Arabidopsis thaliana: one gene and its partners. The protein of the gene in region 2 interacts with the protein of the main gene of each other region in a pairwise test. Each region holds a gene or a part of one and is shown on either strand. Other genes may lie near its edges. The genes, in order: SULTR1;2, WNK3, AT4G13530 and AT1G04360.

Evidence for each region.
Region 1: the proteins of WNK3 (region 2) and SULTR1;2 interact in a protein complementation assay, tested with the Arabidopsis thaliana proteins (one large-scale study listed by BioGRID).
Region 3: the proteins of WNK3 (region 2) and AT4G13530 interact in a protein complementation assay, tested with the Arabidopsis thaliana proteins (one large-scale study listed by BioGRID).
Region 4: the proteins of WNK3 (region 2) and AT1G04360 interact in a protein complementation assay, tested with the Arabidopsis thaliana proteins (one large-scale study listed by BioGRID).

The regions. Positions count from the first base shown.
Region 1 is NC_003070.9:29,325,892-29,333,712, reverse strand, and holds SULTR1;2 (sulfate transporter 1;2), read right to left. Parts: upstream 6,199-7,821; 5' UTR 5,331-6,198; intron 4,385-5,330; exon of another isoform or gene 3,837-4,384; 5' UTR 3,825-3,836; coding exon 3,504-3,824; intron 3,489-3,503; exon of another isoform or gene 3,422-3,488; coding exon 3,373-3,421; intron 3,287-3,372; coding exon 3,079-3,286; intron 2,984-3,078; coding exon 2,809-2,983; intron 2,716-2,808; coding exon 2,650-2,715; intron 2,563-2,649; coding exon 2,449-2,562; intron 2,345-2,448; coding exon 2,228-2,344; intron 2,141-2,227; coding exon 1,727-2,140; coding exon of another isoform or gene 1,646-1,726; exon of another isoform or gene 1,629-1,645; coding exon 1,438-1,628; exon of another isoform or gene 1,348-1,437; coding exon 1,262-1,347; coding exon of another isoform or gene 1,215-1,261; exon of another isoform or gene 1,169-1,214; coding exon 1,092-1,168; coding exon of another isoform or gene 1,065-1,091; exon of another isoform or gene 980-1,064; coding exon 836-979; 3' UTR 493-835; downstream 1-492. Other genes in the region: AT1G78010 (tRNA modification GTPase), read right to left, coding at 7-178. UniProt on the Arabidopsis thaliana protein: High-affinity H(+)/sulfate cotransporter that mediates the uptake of the environmental sulfate by plant roots. Plays a central role in the regulation of sulfate assimilation. Unable to transport molybdate.
Region 2 is NC_003074.8:17,872,098-17,877,513, forward strand, and holds WNK3 (with no lysine (K) kinase 3), read right to left. Parts: upstream 3,434-5,416; 5' UTR 3,124-3,433; coding exon 3,055-3,123; intron 2,982-3,054; coding exon 2,944-2,981; exon of another isoform or gene 2,840-2,943; coding exon 2,612-2,839; intron 2,534-2,611; coding exon 2,310-2,533; intron 2,231-2,309; coding exon 2,073-2,230; intron 1,990-2,072; coding exon 1,824-1,989; intron 1,671-1,823; coding exon 1,542-1,670; intron 1,454-1,541; coding exon 915-1,453; 3' UTR 723-914; downstream 1-722. Other genes in the region: CYP71A26 (cytochrome P450, family 71, subfamily A, polypeptide 26), read left to right, coding at 4,474-5,331. UniProt on the Arabidopsis thaliana protein: May regulate flowering time by modulating the photoperiod pathway.
Region 3 is NC_003075.7:7,864,193-7,869,698, reverse strand, and holds AT4G13530 (uncharacterized protein), read right to left. Parts: upstream 3,372-5,506; 5' UTR 2,892-3,371; coding exon 2,205-2,891; intron 1,270-2,204; coding exon 1,144-1,269; 3' UTR 523-1,143; downstream 1-522. Other genes in the region: SMAP1 (small acidic protein 1), read right to left, coding at 5,049-5,237.
Region 4 is NC_003070.9:1,166,600-1,170,865, forward strand, and holds AT1G04360 (RING/U-box superfamily protein), read right to left. Parts: upstream 2,436-4,266; 5' UTR 2,054-2,435; coding exon 908-2,053; 3' UTR 689-907; downstream 1-688.

The DNA of each region.
Region 1 (7,821 bases), on a different chromosome or scaffold from region 2:
TATAACCTGATGACTGAGCGCGAGGTTTAAGAAGAGAGGTTTTAGGAGACGAAGAGAATAAAACAAAGCAGAGATTTTTAGAGATGGGTCTCGAGATTCTTCCGCCTCGGGTTATAATCGGCGTAGCTTGTCGGAGAAGATAAACGCCGACTGAACGGAAGCAGAGGAGACTCACCATTGACACTGCAACCTAAACTCAGGGATAACGCCGACGAAGAGATAAAATCAAAACGCAGCGTTTTTAGTTTTTCACAAAGAAATGGGTCATTGTGAATAAACATGGTTTGGGCTTTTATCCGATAAAGCCCAATAACTAAAAAGGACTTGTAAAATCGCAGTGCATTGCGCTAGTAGACAAGTTAAGAGAAAAAGGAAGCTACAGTGTTACTCCACTCATAAATGAATCTTGCTTTGTTTTTGGTCCACGTTCATATCAAATTGATTTAGTGCTCTAAGGATAGGATCATCTTTTCATTTTTCAACATATGGATAAAGATCATATCTAATCTACTAAAAATATCAATGCATTTTAAACTCCAACTTGTCACATTATTGAGTTCCCATTTGGTTTAACCAATCTATTTCCAGAGATATATAGATCTCTACATTGGATACATTTTGGGGTTTTAAACTTGATTTCATAGAAAAATCTTAATTTATAAAAAGTAGTCAACTTTACACTTGACCCCTTGGTGTGATAGAAGAATCATAAAGAAAGGGTCCAAAGAAATACAATCACTTTCTTAACTCTACTGTTACAACATTTAAAAGAGCATATCTTTCTTCTTCTTCGTCATTATCTTCATTTTCTTCTTCTTCTTCTTTCTTGTAAATTTCAGACCTCGTTGGAGAGTTTTGGACAGCAAGCCTCGACGGCATCAGCCACCGTTAGATAGATATTGTCTTGTCCTAACATGTCGGCAAAGTGCGACAAGTGTAGCTTGCCTATCACCAACGGTCCAGGATTCGCCAGAATCAACTGTTTATCATCACAAAACACAGAGTCAGGTAAATCTTCTTCAACTAATTCACTTTGAGTGCTTAGATTATAATCCTTAAAGAATTCAGTATGTGTGTATATATGTATGTACCTGAATGTCTCTTTTCTGGAGAGACTTGTATAAGTCTTCTAATGCGTGAATACCACTTGTATCGATGTCCGTAACAGCTGAAAAATAATGGTGTTCGTTAATCTTTGTGTTATGAGAAAAAAATTAAGAAGGAATATATATATAGAAATTGGGAGTGAAGTTTAACTTACGTGACATTTCGATGATGAGAAACTGAATCCTAGGTAGGCTTGCTGCTTTTACCTTTTCTTCTTCCTCATGTAGCCATCTCTGGATCCTGTAAATGAAAAAGGGTTTTCGATTTAAATTTCTTGTCAACCAAGTAACAGATCTTGGTTAATATTAAACTTTTGTATAGGGTTTTTACCTTTCTCTAACATAATTTGAGTTGGAGAAGTAAATGGCGGAGTCAACACGAATAGTAAGAACCCCTGGAACCATAGTGGCTTCAGGATACTGTTGAATATTTCTGTAAACCGAAGTTCTTGGAATATTTCCGAGAACTGCAGTTCTAGGTCTTGTTACTTGCAAGAGGATCTTAGCAAACGAGATCGAGACCTGTACACATACAAACATTAGCAAATTAAGATTAGAAGTGAATTAGATTCATCATTATTGCAGCTATATATAGAGGGTTTAGTTTTCTTGAGACTTACGGCAATAAGAAGTCCGATCTCAACAGAAACAAAGATGACGCCAAAGAATGCTCCAATACAGGCGATGAAATCGAGCTTATCAACCTTGAAGATCAAAATAGCAGCTTGGATATCGATCAAAGGAATCACAGCGTTGATGATGATAGCTGCGAGGATGGCGTTTGGAGTGTACTTGAAGAGAGGAGTAAGGAAGAGCAATGTCAAGAGAACAACAATTGACATTATGATGTTTGAAACCGCTGTTTGACATCCAGCCATGAAATTGACAGCTGATCTTGAGAAAGATCCGGTAGCTACGTAGCAAGAAGACATCGATCCAACTACGTTCATCATACCTAATGCTACCATCTCTTTGTTACCGTCGATTTGGTAGTCTTTCATTGCAGCAAAGGTTCTTCCAATCGCTACAGCTTCCTGCGAAAACAGATTGAAATATTCGGGTTTCAATGAGGAACTTTCGTTTAAGAGAGATTGAAGTATGAGTCATTGGTTTGTACTTACTGTTAAAGCGACCATGCCAGCGACTACACCGATGCGGATGCCCTTAGCAAGGTTATCACCAGTGAAGTAGATTAGATGGAACGAGGAAGGGTTGATTCCTTGGTCAAGGTGTTTCACCTTTATTCATAAAAAAGAAAAGAAAAAAGAATCATATTAGGTATTACCACAACGACAAATTGTTTGAAACGCAAGAAACTAGTTAGAGGGAGTTGAGATCTTACGATTTGGACTCCTTGTTTGTCGGCTCGGGTTATGTAGACAAAGAAGGTGGAAACGATAACTGATATCAATGGCGCAATAGCTGGTACCCAGAATAGTTTCTTGCTCTTCTTCCCCTGTTTCAGCATCAAGTCAAGAGAGGTCAGAAACAGATCTAAACAAAGAATAAACTTAGATGTTTTGTTAATAGATATATGTCTTACAATGATCTTAGACGTGAGAAGGAAGGTCAAGAATGATGCACCAATGAGTATAGTCTGCCAATTCCACTGCATAGCCAAATTTATATGAATTAGTAAAGAGATTTACCCAATGGAGGAATCAAGAAACAAAGTGTTTGTATCAGCGTAAAGGGTTCTTACGCCGTGATGAGCTGCTTTGAAAACGGATTCAAGAACAGAAATAATATCAGTTTTCTTGGTGAATTTCTTGATCCCGAGGAAGCCTTTAAGCTGCTGAAGAGCGATAGTGATGGCTGCGCCGCCCATGAAGCCAACCACAGCCGCGTGGGAAAGGAAATCGATCAAGAATCCTAATCTGAGAGTAGTAAGGAAGAAGATGAACATTTTGAGAGCCTTTTCAACCATGAAAGAAGGAAGAAATTGTTAATAGATAAGAGATCAATTTTTTACCTGAAGAATCCAAGGGCTGCTTCGGTTATACCGGCGAAAAACGTAGCAGTGAAGGCAAGGCGGAGATATTCATCTGGACTTGTGTTTGGATCAATCTCAGCTCGAAGCAATGTGCCTAGCAACAGCGAAACCACAGCGACAGGTCCTATTGCTATATCCCTAGAACTTCCCATACAAGCATACACCAATGGAGGAACAAAACTCGAATCTGTAACATCAAGAAACATATTTTGAGTATCCAATGTTTTATCAAATGAGGTCAATCAAGTGTGAGCATGTCAAAATCAAACTTACATAAACCGTATTTGGGATCAAGATTCGCCAACTTAGCGTATCCAATATCCTGAAATCATCAAGGAATATACATAAGAAACAAGCAAGTACAGATAACTTGTGATACAAGTACTTGAGTTTAGGTTTTTCACCTGAGGAATGCAGAGACTTGCAATGGTTAAACCGGAGATGAGATCACCTCGGAACTTCTTGAAAGTGTAGTTACGTCCCCAATCGAAGACCGGGAAGACGGATTGGAGACCGAGCATAAACTGCTTAGACTTAGGCTGATCCTTAAAATCCCTAAGAGGATCATCATGAAAGAAAGTTTCTTTGAATGTGTACATGAAATCCTTGAACATGTTTTGCTTTGGTGGGATTCCAACTTTATGCCGAGTGGGTGAAGGTTTCATCGGAACATGTCCACCGTCCGTCGCCGGACTTCCGTCCACAGGGTGAGCTCTTGACGACATAGCTATGTAACTCTGCAAACAGAACAGGAGACTACTTAGATTAGTACTTTACTTTGCAAGTTTTTGAGATTATATAAATTGTGTGGATGGAGTAATGGTATCGAACCAGGAGAAAGGATAGAGATAATTGGGTTGAAAGATGACTTTTAAGTGTGAATTTTGGAGCAACATTGATGAAGCTTATTTATAACGAAAGTTTAGGATAGTTTTGTTTTAATTTAATGATAAGAGAGTGGTGGTCATATACAATTTGATGAATCTGGATTACTAAGAGACCAAGTACATTAAGAACATTGAAAAAAGTCTAACTAGAAAAGATGCAATTTTTAATTGGCGTTGATCGACATTAAAGTTTAAACAAATTAAGTCAATGGTTTCTGTGGCAAACTTTGTGTGCAATACTGAAAACAATCTCAATTCAATGATCTCGTTTACTTTTTTGCTATAAGGAGAGATAGTTGACCAGAATAGCCACGTGGCACATAGTGAGATTTTTTAAAAATGCAACAGTTATCCCTCAATAAACGAGGAAGAACTAACGTTAATCATATCCTTTCGTTTTTTTTTTTATAAAATAATTTAATTTTAGCTAAGAGTAGACGAAGAGAACCTTATTAATTAACATTTGATTTCTGGATTTTTTTATCATCGTTTTGGGTTGGACATAAACTTTAGAAAAGGACTTAAGAAAACTTAGAAAACAAACCTAACTGAACAGAAATTTGGAAAGAATACCTAAAAGGCTATTATATAAAACCTAATTCATATGTTCTTTTTTGGTGGTTCTAATTGGGACTTGATCTCTTGTCCAAACTCTATGTAGATGTTCTGTCAATACCAGCATATTGACTTGTTCATTAGAATGCATTAAACCAACATTTTAAATCACCCATTTTTTAGACAAAAGCTTTAACTTGTGCAAGTTGATGGACAATGACATGATTATTATAAAAACTAGCCGCAATTCATTTTCAACCTAAGTTTTTCTAAGGAATTAACCGGCGTTTTTCTGTCACATAAGCCAATTTCGATCACAAAAAGCTATAAAAAATAATACGATTCTCTTTTCTGACTAATTTTTATATACTTTAAAACACAAATATTGTAATCAGTTTTTGCTGGAGCCAAAGTGAGCACCACATGTGTTGACTTTGTAATGTAGACAAGTATGCATGATTGATAGTGAGTTAATTAATATTCTACCGATCGAAGAGACGCTGTAATCGTAAACTCCTACACCAGACGATACCTCTTCAACATTTTCCTAGTTCTATTCATTATTGTATAATTGCCAGTTATAAAATTGGGTGATTAATCTGATATCTATACACATAGACAAAAACACAATTGAAAAAGGAATCAACTAGTATTATACTATTTTCACCAAAAAAGAAGAAGATGATTAAACATTATATGCACGTGTATTCTATAAATGAGAGGTTTCAAAATAAATTAATTGGTGTTATGCATAGCCATTGATAGTTGGAAGGTGAAACACCCACTTACCTGGAAAAAGAAGAAGAAGAATTCGATCTCGCTTTTTAGCCTTTTTCCTCCAAATTAGACCTTTTACGTGATTTATTTTAATTTATTAAAGCGAAAAGGGATCTTAAAAAGTAGAAACAGAAAAGAGAGAACGATTTAAGAATTAGAGAAAAAGTACACGAGAGATATTAGTTAAAAGCCTCCCCTTTTTAGATTTTAGAACACCAGATTGTTCATGTTCACTATTCTTTTCTAAAGTTTTAAAACAGTAAAATCAGTAAACCTGAATCATGTCCCGGTTCACTGAATCACTCTCTCATCAAAATACAAAACGAAAACCCTAGTATTTTGTGAGAAAAGTACAAAATTTACAGAGAAAATAGATTTTGCTTCAAACTGGAAAAAAATTCAAGAAAGATAAACAAGAGATAAAAAAAATTATTTAACAAAAGTGAGGGGAAAAAGAAATATAGATCTGAGCTTTTATAAATTTAATGTTTTAAATTGGAATAAACATTAAATTATAAGAGATAAAGATCGTGATTACGAATATTTGGCTTTTTTAGGAGAAAAAAATATAAAGGTGATAATGACAGAAGTAATGGAAACTAAGCAAGAACATCAAAGCGGTTAGATCAAATGATTTTACGACAATGCCACTGGCTCCAAATCAAGAAAAGCGAAAAGGTCAAAAGTTAGGAGCGTTTTTTTTGGGGGGTGAAGTTGACTTTTATAGAAACTGGTGGGCCTCGTTTGAACGTGGACTATAATGTGGCTAGGTTCGTCTTTGGTACAATTAGCCATTGACTACGTGTTCGCTACGCGCTAGATAGTGCTTTGGTGGCTACGAGCTATTTGTTCTCCATGTTGGTTCACGGCCAGCCACACACTATCTTACTATAATTTTTTTTTTTTAAATGTATATTCGTCAACTATTTTGTCGTTGTTTCTTTTTTTTTTTTTTGGGTATTAAACTGAATGTCCTAAACAGCTGTTATAATCTGTTTAGATATGTATTATACGTTATCATCAATCTCAAAAATACGTACCCACGATTGAAGTCGGTAACACATTATGTTTTGCATATGTATGCATATTATAACAAGTTTCGATTTGTAAATTTGTGAATGTAACACTTTAAAAAAGAAAATGTAGATGTATGTATGCATATTATATGCTTCATATCATGGGCCAAGTTGAGAAACCGAACCAAGTACCAACCAACTTGAGAAACCGAACTACCAAAAAAACATCATGGGATATTGGGATGTAGGACCAACTACACTTAAATATATATCCGATGAATTCGAAACTATATATATTAACATGTTTCTCTAGCTACACAAACTTTCTACGATGTGAAAAATTGAAATTGAGTTTTTAAATATATACGTTTAGGGTCGAACTTCAAAATTTGGTATAGTTTTAGGCTGACTTGAAATGATATTTGGGCATTTGAAGTATACGAGAGCTTAATTACGTTTATTGCATTAAACGATATACAATTTTGGGTCACAGACTACAGAGGAATCTAAACGTTTCTTTTAAAACTTTTGCTTGTTTTGTTTGGTATATAGTAGAGCTTTGCATGTGAGACTTACCAATAAATATTACTAAGACTAAAAGAGATTTCGTAATTGTAGAACCTCCTGACCCATAAGTTTTCGAAACGACAATACTTGCTGATTTTATACAGATAAACTAATTTATCATAATCGTTTGCATGTTTATTCTTAGCTAATTCTTAGTCATCTTCGTTTGACATTATAAACCATTATTTTATAGCAATTTTACATAAATATATTTAGATATTGTACGCTATTTTAGATCATATTAAAAAAATGCATTCTATTTAAAAATAACCATACTTAAGATTATTTATATATACCGGTATTAATAATGTTCTATAACATCCTACGAAGCATTCAACGAAGATGATTAAGAATTGTGATAACCATGTTAGAAATTGCGAAAAGAACAAATCCGTACCAACCAGAAAAATAAAATAATCGATCGGTTTCTTATATTATGAGAGACCAAACGTTTCAAATTTGTCGGGGGCATATAATCGACTAAAAATTTTCAGGTGCCGCCTAAAAATGGGTAATATATTTATCTAGTCAACCGTTCAGTTTCTATACATGAATTTTAATCATAGTATATGCATTTCAATCTGTAAATTAGTCACGATTATGTTTGACAAAAACAATATTATGTACGTATGAGTATGTTAGCTTGGTTGGTTAGAACTCTCGTCTATAAAGATTTTTTTATTTATTAAATAGTTTATCGTTTTGTACCGATGAATAAAGTTTATAAAAATTATTTTGATTGGTTGTTCGACATCAAGTACCAAGTAATGTAACATTTGCATGTAAAATATCAAAACATATACTACATCATAAGTTTGCCATCGCAAACGCTGACAAAAAGTAGTTTCTTATTTTATTTTTAAATTTTTGTTAAGGGACAAAAAGAAGTTTTAATTTAAAGTATTTTATAGAGGTAAAAT
Region 2 (5,416 bases):
TGGTTTATTCTGGCTTGGGCTTTTAAGCCCATTTATGCCAGATATTTGGGTCCAGTCCCGGAATCGCTTACCAACAAGAACAATTTAACTTAAATTACTTTTCGATTTTAGTTCTTATGAAAATTGAGGGCTTTTCTCGGTGCCCTAGAATTGATCGGAAAAATGTTTTCTTCATGGCAGAGCAAGGGAGTGCATGCTTCGACGGATCAGAAACCAATTCCTGAACAAGTATGAGAATTTAGTTTATTTCAGTTTTTGTTTTGATTATTTATTTGCTCTTTGTAGTTTTGATTGGATCCCTTGAGTCCTTGACGCTGCCATATGCTTATATTTGCTTACTCCCTGAAACGCTTTCTTTCCTATAAAGATGTTTTAAGGTAGTTTTATGAAATTTTGGGCTTTTAGCCCATTTATGCCAAATGTTTTGGTGATTAGGTTTATTATCTATGAAACCCTAATATATTATCTTGAGGCATACGCTATTTAAGAAACACCAGTACCCATTAAACCTAATAGGCGAGAGAGAACAAAATATGAACCGCTCTATATCTTCTTCTAAGATTATGAGAGGCGAGCATAGATCATAAGACAACCTTATTAGAGTCTCTGCAAGTGAGTCCAGTGAAGACGAGTAAGGTTCATAAGAGTTGGGTGAAGAGGACGAGGCTAGCTCAGAAGAATCAAGTGAATAAGAACACAGTGATGTGACCTATCATCACCGCGTTCTTTTCTTCTCCCAGACTCTTCTGAGCTAGTTACGTCTTCACCTAACTAATTCAAGAAATATTATTTGACAAATAGTTTTCCTTCAATCATAACTGTCACAATTTTGTTACACATTTACTTACCTTTAGTACAACATAATATTGCAAACCAAATTAATCTTGACGAGAGTGTGTAATGTAAAAAACGTACTAACACAATAAGTTATCAGAATCTTTAACTTGCAATCTCACCAAAGCCTCTTCACAAATCTCAGGAGGAAACTCTTTTAAGAACTCAGTAACAATACGTTCTTGATCTCTCTGCATCTCTTCAATCTCCTCTCTCTGTTTCCTCAACAAAGACTCAAGTTTCTCTACTATAACCCCAACTTCTTGATTGATCGGTCCTTGTGCTGACGACAACTTAGAATTAGACCGTGGCGCAAACGGTGAACGTGAGTCTCCAGCTCCAGCTTTAGGAGAGGACCAGAATTTTCTCCCTGAAGGAAATCTATCTAAATGGAGCGTCTCTGGAGAAGACAAACATTTTTGTACCGCTGAATCATCACCGATAAGTCGAGAAGGGGTCCAATCGGGGATGTGTGAATGTATCTCTGTGTCGATCATTTTAGCTATCGTTGAGATGTCTTGATCATCGGTTAAGTCTAGTTCTTCGACCATTTCGATGGCGACTGAGAAAGATGTGTCTGTCTCTATGTTAAATGGGAAGTGGATATTGCGGATTTGACCTGTATAAAAAATGTTATTATTGTGTCAAAAGAAGATTTAGTAATGATCTGAAGATTTGTAATAAAAAAAGCAAAAAAGATTTTGAACCTTTGGAATCGGTGATACGTAGTTTTAGGAAGATTGTGTTGAGGTCTTTACGTTGGCCTTCTACGGTTAATAAGCCTACCTCAGAATCCGAGAGTTTATCCACGATTCCGTTTCCGTTGTAACCATTTTCTGTGACAATGTTATTGAACTTGGTGTTAGAAAATTTCACATAGAAAAAATATAGAAACTATCTTATGTTACTATTATTGATTTTAACTTTTAAGAAAGGAGTCCATGACACTTCATATTGAGATGAAATGAAATACCATAATCTGATATTACCTTTGTGAGAGCTGACGTTTTCGGTATTTTCCTTGTAGCATTTCAGAAAAGGATCATCAAGTAGTTCCTTGGCTGACAAGCGTTGCGAGACCTTTGCGATACACTTCTCTATGAATGCTCTCACTTGCGGATCAGTCACATTTAAAAGAGCGGCTGGTTTGATTCCCTAAGAAGCATTGAGAAAAATGGATCGACAATATGGAAAAAGTCATTCTTGATTGGATATGAGATGGGAATATGATCACTTACCGATGTAACTTTCCTATAAATCTGAGCAGCATTTGTGCATTCGGAATACGGGTATTCAAAAGTTACCAGCTCAAGCAAACACATTCCAAACGCGTAGATATCGACAAGTACATTATAGTCCTCTTCATAGAGTTCCGGCGCCATAAATTCAGGAGTTCCTTAAACAATTTCAAACACAAAATTATAGTTTCACAATGGAGAAACTTTTTCGTTTGAGAACAAGATTAAAGATCTCACCGATGACGCTATGAGCAGAGCGAGCGCGGTGCAGAATCGCGGCTAGCCCTAGATCTCCAATTTTGACCTCACCTTGGTTCCCATTAATGAAAATGTTATCACATTTAAGATCTCTATGGATCACAGGAGGATCATGGCTATGTAGATAAACAAGCCCTTCTAAGATCTGCCTTGACCATTTCTTCAATGCTCTTAGATCAACACACTTATGTTTCTTCCGGTACCTATAAGGGTTTGTCAAACATGAATAATATTGATCAAATAAAAAAGATTTGATTTGACTTCTGAGAGAGGAATCTGACTGTCTAAGATTTCCGGAAGTGAAGACTTCGGTGATGAGATTGATAGTCATGTGTTGGTGATCGATCCAAGAAGTGTAGAATTTGATGATGCTTTTGTGTTTAAGGGTTTTGAGTAAGTGAACTTCAGAGTAAAGACGATCTAAATCCTCTGAGCTACAGAATTTATCATCTAACTTAACTTGGTTCCAAGCCACTTCGATTCCTTCAAGTTGGTCAAATGCTCTGTATCTGAAGAACTCTCTGATCAAAGAAACCCTTTAGTGACTGTGTCTTGTCCGAATCTAATCTGATTTGTCTCTGTAGTAATAACAGAGATCTAAGAAAAAGGATACACTTCTTTGAAAGCTCCTTTGCCTAGAACTTCTTTATACTGAAAACATGAGAAACAAAAACATTAGAATTGAGAAAAAGGTAACACTAAAATCAAGTAAAGAAGAACAGACCCGGCCATAGCGACCAGTGGGATCAATCTCAACGAATTCTTCCTCGGAGTTATTCTCGTCTTGTCGCATTCTTGGTTACTTGCAATTCAAAACAGATGATAGGAGTTCTTGAGAGAAGAGAGAAATTTAGTCAAGGAAGAACAAGTTTTGAAGCAGTTTCTGATAATAATAATAATCATTACTTAGCTGTCTTTTTGTGTATAAATCGATTATTTAGATTTTGTGCCATTAAAACCAAGCTTAAGCTTTTCCAGCTGCTGATCATAATGGTGTCGACTGTAGAATGTTGTACACTCTCTCTCTTTCTCATCTTCGAATTTAGGACACTCAGATCCACTGGACAAGACCACGTGGCAAAGGTGTGGGTCGTTGCTTTTTTCGCGCCATGGATCTGGTTTTTTATTTGATTTTCTTCTCATTTATTGTCATGTTACTCTAATCAATTATTTTGCTTATTCAGTCAACTTCATGGTGTTGTGAATATAAAATATTCGGACTTTTTTTTTCCCCTTCTTAACTCTTAAGTCACTGTTTTAGCTGACTAAGAACCCTATAATTGACTATCCTACAAATCGAATAATGGGTTTGGTAAATTACAAAATGTTTAGCCATTGAACCCGCTTGTCATGGTAACGAATTCGATTTTACTGTGTGTAAACAACAATTTGGACTTCAGCTTCAGTTCTTTTAAACTTAAGGAAACTTTTCACTAAAGGGTTTTGCTCTCTCTCTCAGGATTAATAGAATAATAGTCATAGTTTTTGGTGAAACATAAATATTCAATGTTGTTACACTTTAAATAGAAACTTGTACTGACACAAATCACTACACTAATGTTATGATCATTTGTTATAATCTATTACTTCTACTTATATCTCAAAATATAAATGTTTTACATATTGGAGACAGAATGTTTGAGACGAATTAGGACATTTAAATTTTCATGGAGAATTGTTTGTTGAACAATGTTGTCGTTGTATTTTTGATGAGTATGAATTGGCGGTTCAGCCGTTTAAAAACCGATTATATACAATGATCATCAAATTTTTGTAAGGCCCATTGGGCCCAGAGTATATAAATCCTTAGAGCTGACGGCAGCCTGAGACCATTATCCTAGGCACTTGTATTGTATGGTGGTAAGACACATCGTGGAAGCACCGAAAGACTAGAACGGTGACACGACCAAAATAAGACATAAATCGTAAACGCACCAAATGACTTTCACAAGGAAAAATCTCGAAGAACTAAACATTAAAAGACTGGTGCATGCATAAATACATAAGTCCAAAAGATTGAGTGGACAGTAATTACGTACTAGTACTACCGTGAAGAAACTTGGCTTGTATATGTAAGTCCAAAAAAACCACAAATAAAAACTCTTCACAAGAACACGTTTTGATGTACTTGAAGAATCCAGACATGATGATCATGTTCTTTCTGTTATGCTCAATAATCTTTGTAGTTACCATCATAATTTTCAGAAAACAGAAGAGAGGGAAGAAAAGAAACACACTTCCGTCACCACCGGGACTACCGTTGATCGGAAACCTTCATCAACTCGGCCGCCACCCTCACCGATCACTATGCTCTCTCAGCCACCGGTACGGTCCTCTTATGCTTCTTCACTTTGGCCGTGTCCCCGTTCTTGTAGTATCTTCAGCTGAATTGGCTAGAGACGTTTTGAAGACGCATGACCGTGTTTTCGCAAGCCGGCCACGGTCAAAAATCTTCGAGAAACTTCTTTACGATAAGCATGATGTGGCCTCAGCTCCTTATGGAGAGTACTGGAGGCAAATGAAAAGTGTGTGCGTCCTCCATCTATTCAGCAACAAAATGGTACGATCCTTTCGAGAAGTGAGAGAAGAAGAGATCAGTCTGATGATGGAAAAGATCAGGAAATCGATTTCTTTGCCGGTAAATCTAAGCAAGATCTTGGTGAGTTTAACTAACGATGTGATATGTAAAGTTGCTTTGGGACGGAAATACGGTGGTGAAACGGATTTTAAGGAGTTAATGGAGAGACTAAATAAACTATTGGGGACGTTTAGTGTGGGGAGTTATGTACCTTGGCTTGCGTGGATTGATTGGATCCGCGGTTTAGACTGTCAACTAGAAAAGACGGCAAACGATGTTGATAAGTTCTTTGAGAGAGTTGTGCAAGATCATGTCGATGGAAACAGAGATATGACTGATTTTGTGGATGTATTGCTCGCTATTCAAAGAGATAAGACCGTCGGGTTTGAAATCAACCGTGTTAGCATAAAGGCAATTGTCATGGTGAGGAAACACACTTTTGAATGATACCAATTCAGATTTATGATGTTTTATTGTGTAATGTTTTTTTTTTTTTACAACATGATGT
Region 3 (5,506 bases), on a different chromosome or scaffold from region 2:
GGAAAATTATGGAATGTCTTATCACAAAACTAATCACACAAACACACATTGTGGCTTGAGTTGATTATTTCTTATGGAAACTGAGATAAAAAGACAAAAGAAGTTATGGGCACTCTCAGGACATAGTACTGAATAGGAAACAAGAGAAAAAGGAATTGAAGTGGTGTTACAGAATATGAAAAGCAGTGTTTTTTCTTCAATCTCCAATTAATGGTGTGGGCTTTGATTGTTTGTCACATGCATCATTAACATGGACCCATACCTATTTACTCCTATTTTTTCTTCCCAATATTTGTAGGTTTTATAGGTTTCTCTCAAACTTTTGGTCTAATTTGTCTTCTTCTCATGGAGGAAATTGTTACATAGGTCTTAAGTTATTGTCTGTGTTTTTATAGACCGAATCAAACATAGCAAACCAAAATTTGAGTATGTTACGTGAAGACAATGGGTAGATTTATCTTGAAGTTCGAATTTTGGTTTGCTTTATTTCCGTTAAACGTCAATAGTTAAACTTCATGAGTATGCTTTAGCTTTGGATCCTTAGTTCCTTACAATACTCACTTGTGATTTAAGTATGATAAGTGAGTATACCAAACTTTGGTGGTACAATGGTCAACGAATAATAGAGTGAAAGAAGACAAAGAAACAAGAAGAAGAGACATATATCTAATCACAATTGACATCGTAGAGTTTAGGATAGCTATAAAGTGAAAGATAGACTCCTACATGGCTACATCAATCAGAAACATTGCCCTCTTCACGTGAACTTCCCTGTTAATTTGGGTTTTTGTCTTAACCCTTTTCATATCTTAAAGAGTCGTACTTTCTAAATAAACAACCAAAATTCCGTTATTGGCTTTTGTCTTTGTACAATCTCTTTACGACACTGCCTACTAAGACCAGCTCAGAAGCTTATCAAGGTTAGATTCTGACCGCAACCTTCCAAAACTGCACTATGATTCTGATCCAATTTGTATTCCACCAAGCAAGTAACAATATATACACACACAGTACAAACTTACAAGCATCTTTTTGTATGTTTTTGTAACATTTTTAATACAATCATATGATACATGCACCAACCACATCAAATCATATAATCTCACATATATGCATTATTATGCCCTCAAATTCACTTAATTTTCACCTTAAACTCATCATGGACCACTGGTTCATACCCACTGATGACGGAAGTGCTGGCCGGATTATGGGCACACGTTTCACTACCGAGATTGCTTCGTTCCACCGAGCAGCATGATTCGCCACCTTCTGAAAAAAGTATTTCATTCAAAAGACAGACAATACAAGAATCAGATGGTGTAAAAATCTTCCGAATTGTGTTCTGAAATACTTAGAACTTTTGTTCTTCATTGCCATGAGTGAAAAAGATGAATACAAGTCAAGCAAGAACGTGAATTTCAGCAGCAAAAGACATATTTGATCCGCCAAGTTATATGCAACCGTAAGCAGGATTCAAACTTGGGTCCTTACTGAGGCTTTGTACCAGTGGAAGATCAGTTAAACTAAACTTTCAGGTTTTACCACTACTTTTATCCATTCCTCAAAGAAACATTTTACGATAAGATTCGTAATATATAGTAACTTCCATCTCTGGCTACCAACATGAAAAATCTACAAAGAATAACTACTGAAAACTAGTCTAAAGATCTTTCAACTATCCTTTAGCTATTAGAAAGAACATGCAAACTCAAAATGTAAAAATAAAAAATATGTTGTTTAAGCATTATAGGAGATGAAACAACAGAGAGGACGGACAAAGAAATAGATCACCCAGGTGGTATTCTAACGACTATTAACACTGCTCTCACCAACTACACATTCTATGCCAAAAGTATCTATCAAGAACTCAACCGATGCAGTGGTGCTATATCAAAAACCCTTAGCAAGATAGTGTAAATGGGTACGAGTGTATGCCTGTTGGTGAATACTATGACCTCGAGTCGCTGGTTGCATCTAAACTACTTAGCAACAAGAAACTGGTCCCAGGACAAACAAGGGGATGATCTGATCTTCTCATTTTCCCCATCAAAACAACAATTGACACTAATAAAACATCTAACTAAGCAGTAAAAGTTGAACTAAGCAGAGCTCATATCACACCAAAAGATCATACAGTAACCACATGACTCATGAATCAACATACTCAAAGAACAATAAACAATCAAATAAACCAAGCTAGTTACCTTATCATCCAAAAGAACCTTAAGCTGCAAGGAACGAGTCTTCTTCTTCATATTGTACAATCTACGCCCTAACATAACAAAACCCACAAATGCTGCAGCCATGGACAAAGACCAAATAGGATTAATTTTCAACACACAATACTTCAACACCTCTATTGGAATTTTCCACCACACAAACCCTTTCTCTTCTCCTCCTCCACCACCAGATTTAACACCAGGATCAATAGAAACAGAGTTTCCTTCTCCTTCCACTGGATGAAGTAAAGATTCTTCCTTTCTCTCATCAGAGCTTATCAAATCCATGTCTTGAGCTATACTTTCACTATATTCAACAATACCCACTTCGTTTCTCTCTATACCCATCTCGTTATTCACATCATCATCCACTAACCTCTGATCATCAAGCCGATCACTGCTTGAATCAGACCATAACTCACTAAAATGCTTCGGACCATAAGGAACATCGGAGCTAGGTTCGATCCATCCTGGACTACCCGATTGAACAGACCCATCTTCATCGTTTGCCTCCAAACGAGACAAACCACTCTGGTTCTCAAGAGAGAAATGATCAAACCTAATCATACCTTGCGTGCCATCATCAATCTCCTCCAAGCTCCTCGAATTGTCATCTTCCGTGGTAGATCTCGAGCTCTGAAGTATTTCCCAGTCTTGAATCTCTCCTTCCATGTCAAAGTTAGGGGTTTTTTCGATCCAATTGAGGAAAAGAAACAAAAGGAGTCTTTGTGTTGGGGCGAAAACAGAACCGAAACGCTTCTTTCTCTGTGTGGAGATCACAGAAACACTAGGTCGTGGTGTTAACGTGGCGTGGTGTGATTGGATAGAGGATGAAGTCAAAAGAGTGGTTTCGTTGACGTGTGGGTTTATGATAACTATATGGATTGACAGTGTATGTTGTTACGGTGGGCCGAGAAGTAGAGGACCTTCAACCGCTTTTGCTAATCAGATATGCTCAACTTGAAACTGGAGGGAGAGGAAGCAAACACGTCATATAAATGCATTTTGTGAAGAACATCATAATTTATTGATACCGAACCAAATCCAATAGAATGTATTTTTACTTTTTACTATTTTACTTTTCGTTTTTTTACTTGTTTTTTCTCGTTCAAATTAGGTGATCGATGAATTGATAATTTAATTGTAATCCGCGTAATTCATATTCCTTCGGTTCTATTTTGTTGATTTTGAAGAAAAAAAAAATTGTTTCAAAAAAATTGATTTTTTAAAATTTTTATGTAATATTTATTAGTTTTTATTAATGAATTGTAAACTTTAATAAAAATAATTAAATTTTATTGGTTTAAAGTGATAGAAAATTGTAAAACACAAAATATAATATATTTAAAATCAACTTTAATATATTTACTTTTGTGTGTTTTTTTCTAACAATCAAACAAAAAAAACAGAGAAAATATTTATTTATTTTTGCTAAGAAACATAGGAAATATTTAATATTAATCGAAACCCAACTTTTTTTTCAATAAATGTTTAGCGTTAATATCATAGTTTAACAAACATTCTTTTTTATAACTCAAAATTTTAGAGTTTAGTCATTAAACCAAGATGTGGAGATTTTATAAAGGTTGAGGTAGGGAGGAGAAGAAAGTTAAGAGGCTCATGGATGGTGGCTTGCAGAGATTTGGGAGTTTTTGAGAGAGTTGATGACGTGGCAACTTGAGAACACATTTGTTAAAAGGCTGAGGTGGGTAGTGTGAGAGGCCTCAAATAACTTTTTTTTTATTAGTAAGAGATTCTGAAAAGAGGTTACCGATATCTAATGAATTGCTATCGAATGTTGAAATCTCATGAAATTTGGCTACACTACATACATACGACTATAAGGCAAGTAACAAAGACTGCTAGGGACTGACAAAGTGACAAGTGACATCTTTATGCTTAGCCTCCTTTTCCTTTCTACCATAGTTGAACATCAAGCACATTATTTCCATCTCAAAACCGGCCCAGAGAATATAATATGACACGATGCAACAACAGAACTTGGCCAGGGGAATTATACACCCCCTCCTACATACCACAAGACAGGAATTATACACCCCCTCCCACATACCACAATACAACACACATTCAGAGACCACGAGATGGTGAATTTACAAGAAATCAACATGGAACAAGATACCATATCCATATAAATCATTGACTGATGTATCTGAGTTACATGGAAGATACAAGAGACTATTTCTCTTAGGCCATTAAATTGTTGGTAGGAATATGTGCTTCAGTATGAGTTCCCTAGTTCACTTAATCACTAGTGGAAAGTTACAGCTTACATGAGGATTTCATCTCTCACCGGGAAGTTTCTCTAGACCCGGTGAGTCACATGAATATCAACACAATGAAACACATCAACACATATTTCAGAGACCTCAGATGTTGAAATTACAAGCAATCACAATGGAATATGGTACCAAATGAATCAATTAGTTTCTATCTTAAGCCAATATCAATAACTTTCACATTCTTCACATACAAATTCACAACATTCTTCACATACAAAGACTCTAATTTTCAGTTACTAAAATACCAAAACACTAAAGAAAATTAGGTTTCAATCTCCAAAAAACATCATCATCTCCAGAACCAAGGAAAAAAAAAACATTCTAAATTTGAGCCAAAAAAAACAATCAGACAAAGCACAATAACACACAAATCAAATGTTTTAGTAATCCAAATGAAGAAAAACATTGTTACATACCACAAACATAAAAATCCCAGAACTTATTACACACTTACTACATAGGTTTCTCCACAAATTACATCAAGTTTAGGAAAAAAAACTGAAATCTTAAAGAGGAAACTTAACCGGATTTAGTTGATATCGGTGTCATCGAAATCATCATCGAATTTGTTGAAGAAATCGGCGTCGGCGAGCTTGTTATCTGAGACAAGTCCTCCTTCGTTGAGTATCTCCATGGCTTCGAGGTCATCAACGTCCATGGCCATCGAAGAACCTGCATCATCCATCTCCGATAACATATCCAGCTGCATCGGCCTCATTTCTCTCTTCGTCTCTTCTTCGTTTTCTTCTTCGGGAAAGATCTAAAATGTTACAGTGACTGACTGTCGAAGTTTTGATGTTGAGGTCATTTTCTTTTAGGCCTAAATGTTGTGGCCCATCTTTATCTTCTTAGGCCCAATTGATGTGGCCCATGTTAATTTTAATCGTTCATTTTTCGTAGTGATTTTTAGCTGAATCTGTGGATTTTTTTTTTTTTTTTTAAGATACATCAGTTGAGGAATTGGCTGAAAAGTGGAACTAGAGGAAT
Region 4 (4,266 bases), on a different chromosome or scaffold from region 2:
CATGCATCTATTGGGTTCAGGTACTAGTCCAATTGTCAGATCTTGACAAATAAGTAAACCATTTCCTTTGTACCAAAAACAAAAACAACAAAGAAAGGTGTGTGTGTGTGTGTGTGTATAATTTTAGTGAATGCTTTAAATTGGGAATAAAGGTTCAAACTTGATCAGCATCTTGTCAATCACAGTTTCTTGACTAAATTGAAACTAGCAATACCAAAAGAAAGAATTATATACAAGCTAAAGTATAATCAGTAACCAAACTAAACCAGTAGCAAATGTTATTGAACCAAACAAAACCGATCAAAGATTGCTTGTTGTAGCCAACCAAGGCAAACCTGCAACCATTCGGTACTTAGCTCGCAGAAAACTGATCAATACTATCTTCACGGTCTGAGGATCCACGCCGGTTTGATTGCAGAAACCGATTTTAGGATTTACTAATTCCTACGCCGGAAAGTCGTCATGCTCAGTTCCTCCTCTGTCCGATTTGATACGGACCTTAAAGGCGAGTCTGCGGCGACAAAGATTTATTTGGGCCTTTATGCTTTTATGCATTTGGGCCTTTATGTGTTTAAGCCGTTTGGGCCTCACAGGTTAGTTCTTTGTTTCCTTTTTTTTTTTTCCCTGCAGTTCTTTGTTGGGATTTGTTTTCGTGTAACTCGTTTAGTGAAAAACACTATTTATTCAATTTTCAGAAACTTCTGTAATTACTATTCAAGTAACTCATCTACTCCTATGACTTGTAAACATTGAACATGTGTATTTGACAAAGAAGAAACATGTACACTATATATCTTTCTCTCCTACTTCACCTTCCAAAATATTTTTTTTTAAATTCACCTCAGCAAATAACAAATACAAAAAATAATTTTTTTGAACAATGAATCAAGAAGAGGAAAATACAGAATTAGGGTTCCAAATAAACAGGTAATATTGAAGAACTTTTTGAAGTTCTACTACTTCCAAAAGAGAAGAAACATCTCTTCATGACTCTGCTATTACCACCACCACTACTGCTACTATCTTCACCGTCTCCAGCTACCGGAATCTGCCTGTTTCTCCGGCTGATTTCCTCTTGGACCGCCAAGTACAGCTGACGATCCACTGATGAATCCATCGAGATCGATCTTCTTATGGGCTGAATTTCACCAAAATGACCATCTTTGCCTCTAGTATCGATACATTCGTCTCCCATACTCGTCACTTTGTGAAATTTCCTTTCTTTCTTATACATTCCCCGATTACCAAACTTTATAGGCAAAGGACTCACCGATTTCGGGCTGTTTCCGGTCGAGACCTCATTCGAGGTAACCCTTTCTTGCTCCGTAAGGAAGTCTATGTTTCTCACGCTTTCTCTGTTGTTACCATTACTGGCCCCAAGCTCTATGACGACGAAGTCATCATCGCCTCCTAGAACCAGGCCGGGTTCGAGATTCCTGTTCCGAGAATGAGGGCTATTCTCCCGAGGAGAGCTCGGTGCAGAGATTAGGTCAAGAGTGAAACTTGCTTCGCAAGAAACGCTGGTTCTGCACAAGGGACAATTTGCGTTGCCCTGAAGCCAGATATCAATGCAATCAATGTGAAACACGTGGCAGCAGTTAGGAATAATCCTTAGCTTCTCGTCTTCTTGAAACTCGTTTAAACAAACAGAGCATTCTTGAGAGTTCTTACTCTGATCTTCTTCTCCTGCAACAACGTCTCTCTTCTTGAATTTGAAGACTGGGATAGCTCTAATGGCGGATTCGTCTAGTCCTCTGTTTACCTCATGAGGAGAGTAAATCATTAGAGGGTTTTGGTCACTGCTTCGTCTGCGGCGGCGAAAGATGTCGATTTGGTGCCAATTAAGACAGCATTTGATCACGAAGATGTAGTAACTTACAAGTAAGAACGCAGTGGCTAAGATTCCAATCACTGCGATGGCCAGAATGGGGAAATTGGTGCCGGAAGAGCTTGTTCGTGGGAATATAGGGCTTGTGAAGGTCGTGGATGGCGGCGGAGGCGGCGGCGGAAAAACAAGATTGTTAAAAGGGTTACGACGGTCTGTTAGATCCATTTGACTACAAAACAATCTAAATGAAAAGCTCCCTCTAGGATTTGAAGGGAAATATTCAGTAGAAAACGAAAAAAAAAATCAAGAAATCAAGTAATTATTTTCTATTGAATCTTTTTCCTCCCTACTCTGAAAGTGTTTATATATACGTAATTGCGTGTGTAAGAGAAAGATCAGAATAGTAGAAGAGATAGTGGTAGAGAAGAAAAACAGAGATGAAGTAATGAAATGAAAGAGAGAGAGAAAGAGTTGGTGAGATTTCAGAGGCTCTTTCTTATATGACTCATTTATTTATTTAGGTTATCATCTTACTTTGTTTTTTTCATCATTTAGGTTATCATTTTGCTGAATCTTTTAGGAGTTTTTTTTTTTTCCTCGATCTATGTGACTTGTTTGGTGTAAGAGTTTTCTTTTTATTTAAACATTTTTTGTAGTACTTATGGTGAGGAAAACAATAAGGAAAAGCTTACTTATATTCAAGTGGAGTAATTTAATTGACATTTTGAGTTGGATCTTCTGATGATAGTGAAAGTTTTGTTTGTCCATGTAGATTACGTTTATATTAAAGTCGTATGTAGTATAATGATGATATAATTGGATTCGCTAATACAGTATAGTGGTCATTTTTCAATAATTAGAATCTGTGAACTCCAGCTAACCACACTTGTCGGTTAATTAAATTGATATGTTTAGACAGACTATATATTTTGTGAAGGATCCTTTGAAAATGTAATAAATTTATCTTATTCAGAAGAATATCTGCAAGTAATTTGCTCTAAACTATGGTTCAAAATAGATAATATGATAGATATCGAAGATCTAGTTATGATTCGAAACGGTCCAAGAAAGATCCCCGAAAAAGACACAAGGTTAGTAAGACTTATCCTTTCTCTGTCTAATCCCGTCAAAATAGAAATAAAAGAAAAGTCAAATCCACCGCAGAAATAGTTCAAAGTTTTCGTTTTGGTTTTCATCTTTTATTAGTTTAAATATATAAGAAATGAGATGAGATGTTAAAAAAAACAAAAAACAAAACAACAACTGGTAAACAGAAATAAAAAATGATAAAGAAGGACAATGTTTCCATACTCACTAGTCTCTATCGTGTATTTATGTTTGACGAGTTTGGCTCACGACAGAATAGAACATAATAATAGGTCCGGTGAGAAGTATAGTTTCGTTTTATATTTGAACCTTTTTCTCTTATCAATAATGTATTGTCTTTAGCAAAACAATTGTGACTATTTTTGTTAGTTGTTTGAGTAATTTTGGGTGTACGTATTTGTGTATTATTTATCATCAAAGTGTATATAATCGAATTTTAGATGGACTTATGTTCTATAATACGTTAGAGGATGTATAAATACACATCTTTAACACAAAAAGATATATAAATACACATCGACTTATGGCGTTCTTAGTTTTGTCCTAACATAATAAAAACGAAAACGTGCCCACGACGGAGACAACCCTTAGTGGAAAGTAATTTGTTGTTTTTGCATTATTTTTATTTTTATCCAAACAACTAATATTCATAAGTGGCTCCCGATGAAAATCCGTAATCACGATTGTCAAAAGAAAAAAAAAATATAGTGGGAGAAATCACAAATCGACAAAATTAGATTCAGATCCATGTTTACAAATTTTTTTAATTTTTTTTTTTGTTGAAGTGTTGCATCAGTTAAACCTAAAAATCGACAAAATCACAATTGATGCTTCGGCAGTAATTACAAATAAACAAATACTACAACCAGGGCAGAGCAGCAGAAGAATATTTCATATAGAACTTAGTGACATTGTATTACTTAAATTTAAACTTTCTTAAATCACCATTAAAAACAGTTGATTCATGAAACTTGTGAAAAACAACTCATCAGTAGTTTTCACATGGACTGACAACAGCTGTGAAAGCTTTTGGTTCAATTTTGGGAGGATTTTACTAGAATCCAATTATTTGTACAATTCAAAACTAATATGAAAAAAGAAATCTAGGCATCTCATTAATATAGTAGAATTTTGTTTCCGCATTAACAATTGACTTTGACTATAGACTACTCTTTTAAGAATGAGGTCCTGAGGATCATCATCATGCGCCACGTCGACGACTCAGGTCAACACAGCAACGGTGAGATGGATCAGCATTCAGCAGCACGTGATGCTTGGTCGGTCACGTGTGTGCGTCAGACCATCATCGATACACGTCGCTCCGAGATATG